Caenorhabditis elegans: one gene and its partner. The protein of the gene in region 2 purifies or fractionates together with the protein of the main gene of each other region. This does not show direct contact. Each region holds a gene or a part of one and is shown on either strand. Other genes may lie near its edges.

Region 1 (3,755 bases), 6.7 Mb from region 2:
GCTGGCAATTAGCGTGCTGACCAATCTTTTCTAAGTTTAATCAGCATTTGAAGTTCGTATAGCGTTTTGTAATTTCCTATAATAGTACCGATTTTATGCTCATATTCCTATGTACATCACTGTGATGTTCTGCCTGCTGCATCAAATGCGTCATGGTGTTTGCGGACTTGTAAATTTACGGGGCGCCTCCCATTTTAACATAAACATTTTATCCTTCAAAAAGCTTGATTTGATTCTGCTTGACCTACCTCTGCACCACTCTTGTAGGTCATCAATCTAGCGAGCTCACAATTGATGGCCATCTCGGCAAGCAAGAACGACACTCCTTGATGGTTGGCAATTTGCGTTCCAAACGCTTTTCTCTCCAGAGAATACTGTGTGGCGACGTCCAAGCAGCGGTAAGCAACTCCGGTGGCAAGTGCTGCAACAGTTGGCCGGGTTTTGTCGAATGTCTTCATGGCGACCTTGAATCCCTCTCCTGGGGCTCCGACGACGTTGGCGGCTGGAACACGGACGTCTTCGAAGGTAATACCACGGGTGTCTGAACATCGTTGTCCCATGTTGATCTCCTTGCGTCCTCTGGTGAGTCCTGGGGTGTCCCCTTCAACGACAAATGCGGTGAAGGCTTTTCCTGCTGCGGTCTTTGGGTCTGGGTCGGAACGGGCAAGCACGAAGAACCTGAAAAAAGAGCGTAGGAATGTTGTGAATTTTTTAGCGACAAAATATTTTATTTTCAGATAGATTTTTCCAGAATGCTCCATTCAGCATATTTATGGATTTACAGTGGCCCATAACAATATCTACGGTAGACCTTTTTTCTCGCGTCTCCTAGAATCATTGCACTTTGACCTGTTGATTATAAGTACACGTTTTGATAAGAAAAACGAGGGTTCTTCATCTTCCTGTCGCATTCTTTCTTTCTCTATTCCATTTCTCTCTCTCTCTCTCTCATTTCCACGTCTAGCGGTACAAAGTCCAAGTTTTGTGTAGTCGACCAATCATTGTAGTCTGCCCGACTTTACAATGACGTAGATCCTCACCACGTGGAACTCACTCACCAGTTAGCATGTCCGGCGTTTGTGATCCACATCTTTGAGCCGTTGAGAATATACTCATCACCCTTCTTCTCACACTTGGTTTTGACTCCGGCGACGTCGGATCCAGCTCCTGGCTCGGTGACGGCGTAGGACTAAAACAAAATTGATTAGGTGTTATTTACCGTAAGAACTCAAGTATATTTCGAAAATACTTACCGCCACAAACGGATTGTCGATCATTCTACCAAGGAATCTCTTCTTGATATCATCATTGGCACATAAAATGAGCGGGGTCAGTGCAAGATCATTAGCCATGATAGCGGTAGCAATACCCGAGCATCCATATGCCATCTCCTCACTGATGATACAATTCGAGACCATATCAACTCCAAGTCCTCCATAAGCTTCTGGAATGTCGGCGATCAGATATCCCTGTGCATGAGCCTTCTTGATGATCTCCCACGGGTACTCCATGGTTTTGTCGTATTCGCCGGCAACTGGGATGACCTCATCGGCAACAAACTTGCGAACATTTGCACGGAACTCTGCTTGGTCAGCGGTCAACTGGAAGTCCATGCCGGTTGACATGGCCTTGTTTGTGGTGCTGAACAGACGCGTGCATTTCGTCAAGTTTCTGGAGAGCATTTTCTGAAAAAAACTTTATTGAGAGTTTGCTATGAAAAATCGATAATCCTAGTAATTGAGGAAAAGACAACAACAAAAAATTGGAACACACACGGTGTATGTGGCGTCTGCTGCTATCATCAAGAGAAAAATGTTTTGTGAAGGTAAAGAGAGAGAGAGAGAGATGGAGAATTGGCCCGCTTGGGCGGAGACTACTTGTTGTTGGGTATGGATAAGAAAGTCACGGAGGTGATAAGGATGGCACGCTTTTGATACTGTTTTGGGAAAAACTGCCAATGATTTAGAAGAATATGAGATTAATAGAGATCAAACAGAAAGAACCAGAGAACTGCGAAAATGGGGTGGTGTACTCAAGAGAAATGAATGCGAGATATGGGGAGGGGGGGGGGGGGGGGGGATCGATGGTCCGCAGACTGTCGTCAGGTGTGGCACTTTGTTGTGTTGGCAGAGTGTTGTGGTAAGAGAGTGCGAGACGCAGATGGTGTAACGCAGGTAAATGACCACATGGCAACAGTGTAGTCACTATAAAGTCCAAAGTGCATAGGTGCATGTTCTTCGGAGCGTATGAATGTTACTTTGGTACTTTAATTGAGCAGTTTTTTTATGTTCAACTATTATTCAAAATCAATGAAAAAAGTATACCAAGAATGTTTATAAATAAAAATATCCACAATTCATGAACAATGAGACGCAGGATTAAGAGAAAGAAAAAACAGCTAATAAGAGTTTAGTTTCCGATTCACTCAGAAGTATAGACAATAAAAACATTATACATTTGAAATAATTCTATTGCAAAAATTTGAGTAAGGGGTGGGGTTTTTTTTTGACAAATCGGCAAATTCCCGAAATTTTTTCTTGGAAATTTTTAAATTTCAATTTTAATCGGGAAAATTGTAGGCATCCTATGAATGTTCCTACATCTGTTTTTATTTCAAAAATCCCTTTGGCCACTTCCGGTAAATTGATGTCCGGCAAACGGCTAATCGGCATTTTGCCGAAAATGAAATTGTCCGGAAAATCGGTAGACTGGCATACAGCCGGAATTGAAAATTTCCGGCACACCGGCAATCTGCCGATTTGCTTAATTTGTCGACTAGCGGGCCTATGGGCCCGCCAGCCCTTCGGGAATGGGGATAGGGTTAATTCGCTCTAAGTTATTAGCAAGGTAGCTGGCGCAGGTTCTCGGCTTCGCCTCGAACCTGTTAACGGGATATTCGAGATCTCTTTGAAATTATTTTAGGAGTGGGTATATGTTTAGAAAACTTGACTATTCAGGTTTGAGGCTTCGCCTCGAAGCTCTTACTGTGTAAAGTGAAATCTCTTTAAACTTTGATTCATTGCTCCAGGACCGACACTGTACGAATAACTTAGGCTGAGATTTTGTTCAAGAATAATTTGAATGTATTCAATAAAATAAGCGTGTTTTCAATCATCACTGTGAACTACAAAAAACGGTGAAGGAAAAGGAAAACTCATGAATACGGCCTGCTCTGCTTGGAATAGGATTAAAGCCAGCCCACAATTTTTTAAGAGTATTCGGGCCTGCGGCCCTCAAACCTGGTTGTTAGGTTTGAGTAAATAACAACCGCGTCGCAGGCCTACAGCCTGCTCTGCTTAGAATAGGATTAAAGCCAGCCCACAATTTTTTAAGAGTATTCGGGCCTGCGGCCCTCAAACCTGGTTGTTAGGTTTGAGTAAATAACAACCGCGTCGCAGGCCTACAGCCTGCTCTGCTTAGAATAGGATTAAAGCCAGCCCACAGTTTTCAAGAGTATTCGGGCCTGCGGACCTCAAACCTGGTTATTAGGCTTGAGTGAATAACATATCTGCTTAGAATAGGATCAAAGCCAGCCCATAGTTTCCAAGAGTGTTCGGGCCTGCGGCCCTCGAACCTGGTTGTTAGGTTTGAGTAAATAACAACCGCGTCGCAGGCCTACAGCCTGCTCTGCTTAGAATAGGATTAAAGCCAGCCCACAGTTTTCAACAGTATTCGGGCCTGCGGCCCTCAAACCTGGTTATTAGGCTTGAGTGAATAACATATCTGCTTAGAATAGGATCAAAGCCAGCCCACAG
Region 2 (3,755 bases):
TCAACGATAATGTTGCCATTTTGTCCTGATAATTTTTTTACTGATTGTTTCAGAACACCCATAGTTTTTCTCTATTAAACGTTCATCCTTGACTTCCCCGAGTTTGCTGGCTGAATAGGAAATTTGAAGACAAAAAGGAAAGAATCGGCTCAAACGTCATGCAACTGATAAGGCGACCGTACTTCATTTCAAAAGAAGCTCACTTACTGAGCGCAAACATTGAGAAATGAGAGCAAAAGAAGTGGTTTTACAACATGCTAATGTTTTTAGACCTTGTACCCAATAATATTACTGTAGTATACAGTTCGGAGAGCATATGGTTGAAATCTTGAAATACCAATTTATCACTAGTTTGATTGTGTTATCGATGTATAAAGATATATTTTATCATTTTTGATTATTATCTGATATTGTGGGGTGTGAAGTAATATTATGTGCGTGTGTGGCTGATTATCGAAAAAAACTGAAAATTATCAATTTTTCTACAGGTTATCTTTTTTTGTTTTATTTTTCATTATTGTATTCTTCATACTCCTTATCCTGCCCGAATCACAAAAGTTCCAGACAACTTGAAGGTCGCATCACGTTTTGTTTATAAGAATGTTGAACTGGTCAGCTTTGGAGACAGAACTGTCCTCCAAATGTTGAATATGTTTCCGTAAAACACACTGTGTAACAAAAAGCGTACCCTTTGATCCGGTATTCTTGAAAAAAAACATAGAAGGGCGTACTTTTCATATCTCACAAATATGCGTTTTTTATTTTATAATAATATCATTTATTGATAATTATATGTATTTGTATGTTTTCTTGTCTTTAAAATTATGGTGTGACATCACAGTTTAAAAATTATATGAAAACTAATGAGTGAAAAGTTAAAAATGTATAGTTTGCCGTATTTTCTCCATTAGTATTGTATTCAAAACTTATTTCCAATTGGTGAGCACTATAAACTTTGTAGGGTAATTGAGGTTCAATACTAATTTTTGAATATCTAGCTTTTGACAAATTATTCAAGTTTTGACAATGATGCCTTATCAAATTAAAAAAAATTACCATAAATTCTTGAAAGCTTTTGATTTTGTTTCACTCTGTGAAGGATAGTAATTTATCAACATTTTAACTAGATACATCTGTTCTGGCAATAAATTAAAGCAAGACTATTACTATGTGCAGTATTAATAGCTGCATTGCAACTTGTTTGAAAGTTTCAGTGAAAACGCAAAAACTCAATTTAATTTTCAAGTTTGTTTGCAAAATTGGATATATGTATCCATCAAAAGTCTGATCGCCTGTTTTATCTACTTATTGTCTCCTCAGTTGATTTTTTTGTAGTTATTATAAACGCTACTTTGAAACCAATATTTTCTTCCTCATTCCACTTTTTTCAATTACCAACTACCGTACATGCAATGATGGGCGGACCCGAGTCCCATGTTTGGCTGGAAGTGGGTGGTTGTCTGCGTATATGAGCGACAGAGGTCGGGGCTGAAACTGATAAGAATAGTCGACACTAACGCCATAATCGCTAGCCAGCCATCATGCACACCGAGCTCGGTGTGCACACCATCTTTCTTTTCAAACCAATACGCTTTGTGCCTTCATTGACAATTTTCTTTTTGATAAAATCAGCCTATCTATACTTCCCAATCATTTTTAGTCTTATCGTTGAACAGCTATCGAGGTGCCACTGTTTTCACTGATATCTTCTAAGTTACTATGGCATTAACATCTTTGTGTTCTTATTTTATGGGTTATTTTAATTAATTTTTGCAGTTAATTTTTGGAATGAGCAAGAAAATGTTAATTGTAATATCTTCGTCTGAAAATTGTCTTCAAATAGTTTTAATTTTAAAGGCAGTATTTAAGAAAATACACTTCTCGAAGCATTTTTGAATTTTTGAATTTTTAAACTGCTTGATGTTTTAGGTGCCACTGTTTTCATTGATAAGTTTTGATGTATAAATGCTTGATTTTCTTGGCATTCTAATAAAATAGAAACTAGAAAATAGATTATAGAATGGATAATAACTACAATGATAATGTCAACGGCTGGGCCGAAATGGAACCATCTCAACCAATGGGAGGTCTGCGCCTACCAACTCAGAACATGGATCCACCAGAGCAAAATAATGAGTCACAATTGAGTGAACTACCGAGAAGTAAACAAAACACTGAAATGCTTGTGGATTATAAAATTATAAAATTTCAGTGAAAATTGATAATGATTACGCATCTCCAATTGAACGGCAAAGTGTTATCACAAGTGGCACAAATAACTATGAGCCGAAAGTGGAAACTGTTACATCATGTAAGTGTGAATTCAAGTTATTTGGATTAATTCTTCCTTTTAGTTTTCCATACTGGCATAGACTACTCAAACTTTGGAATGTTGGACCAAACTACCATGCAACCGTTTTATCCTCTTTACAGTGGAATTCCCGTAAACACTCTTGGAACTTTTTCGGGATATACAAACTCGTAAGTCATGTTTTCAAGTTCTTACTTTCATATTCAAACTTTAGCATATACGACAAACCCTCTCTGTACGACCCCAGTATTCCTACCATTAACATCCCTTCTACTTATCCAACTGTGGCTCCAACTTACGAATGCGTCAAATGCTCACAAAGTTGTGGGGCCGGGATGAAGGCAGTAAACGGAGGGTAAGCTAGAAAAATTTCGATGACTCAATAAACTACCGGATTAATATGTGCCTGTACACTGTTTGGAAATAAACTACAACGAATAATTTTCTAGAATGATGTGCGTCAACTGTTCAACACCAAAAACCACGTATTCTCCTCCAGTCGCGTATAGCACTTCTTTGGGACAACCCCCGATTCTGGAAATACCTTCAGAGCAGCCAACTGCTAAAATTGCCAAGCAATCCTCTAAAAAGTCAAGTAGCTCAAATAGGGGGTCAAACGTAAGTTAAAGTTCGTTTGCAACAGTGTACAACAAATCAATACAGGGATCTGCGTCCCGTCGGCAGGGACTTGTGTGCTCCAATTGCAATGGTACCAACACAACTCTCTGGAGAAGAAATGCTGAAGGAGATCCGGTCTGCAAGTGAGTTTTTTTTTTTTTTTTTTTTTTCTAATGGTTTGTTTTTCAGTGCTTGCGGGCTTTACTTCAAACTCCATCACATCCCTCGGCCGACCTCAATGAAGAAAGAAGGTGCTTTACAGACAAGAAAGAGAAAATCAAAAAGCGGAGACTCTTCCACACCATCAACGTCACGGGCCCGAGAAAGGAAGTTTGAGAGAGCCTCTTCTTCGACCGAAAAGGCTCAAAGGTCATCTAACCGGCGTGCGGGAAGTGCAAAAGCAGACCGAGAACTGAGCACTGCTGCCGTCGCAGCTGCGACTGCCACATATGTGTCACATGCCGACTTGTATCCCGTTTCCTCAGCTGCCGTCACCTTGCCAGATCAAACGTACAGTAATTACTATCAATGGAACACTGCCGCTACAGCTGGGTTGATGATGGGTACGTGATCAACTTTTATAAAATGAAAACTACTAACCTTGAAATAGTACTTAAAGTATGGTATTAATGGTGGATAGCGTTAATTACAACAAAAACATAACTTCATAATATTGCATTCAAGCCCTCTAAGATATTCAAGCTTTTCAAAGTTTATTTTATTTCAGTTCCAAACGATCAAAACTACGTGTATGCAGCAACAAACTACCAGACTGGCCTAAGACCTGCCGATGTGAGTATGAAGCTGTTTGCCACTTCCTCGCTTA

Evidence for each region.
Region 1: the proteins of elt-2 (region 2) and acdh-7 purify together in Caenorhabditis elegans (affinity purification with mass spectrometry, with the first as the bait; one large-scale study listed by BioGRID). This does not show direct contact.

The regions. Positions count from the first base shown.
Region 1 is NC_003284.9:17,215,421-17,219,175, forward strand, and holds the start of acdh-7 (Medium-chain specific acyl-CoA dehydrogenase, mitochondrial), read right to left. Parts: upstream 1,686-3,755; 5' UTR 1,683-1,685; coding exon 1,254-1,682; intron 1,190-1,253; coding exon 1,059-1,189; intron 679-1,058; coding exon 249-678; intron 1-248.
Region 2 is NC_003284.9:10,479,221-10,482,975, forward strand, and holds the start of elt-2 (Transcription factor elt-2), read left to right. Parts: upstream 1-2,019; 5' UTR 2,020-2,020; coding exon 2,021-2,162; intron 2,163-2,212; coding exon 2,213-2,311; intron 2,312-2,354; coding exon 2,355-2,481; intron 2,482-2,525; coding exon 2,526-2,666; intron 2,667-2,760; coding exon 2,761-2,929; intron 2,930-2,974; coding exon 2,975-3,072; intron 3,073-3,118; coding exon 3,119-3,492; intron 3,493-3,656; coding exon 3,657-3,721; intron 3,722-3,755. UniProt on the Caenorhabditis elegans protein: Transcriptional activator that binds to the consensus sequence 5'-[AT]GATA[AG]-3'. Predominantly directs the transcription of intestinal genes such as ges-1, cpr-6, pho-1, ftn-1, vit-2 and lev-11, and itself.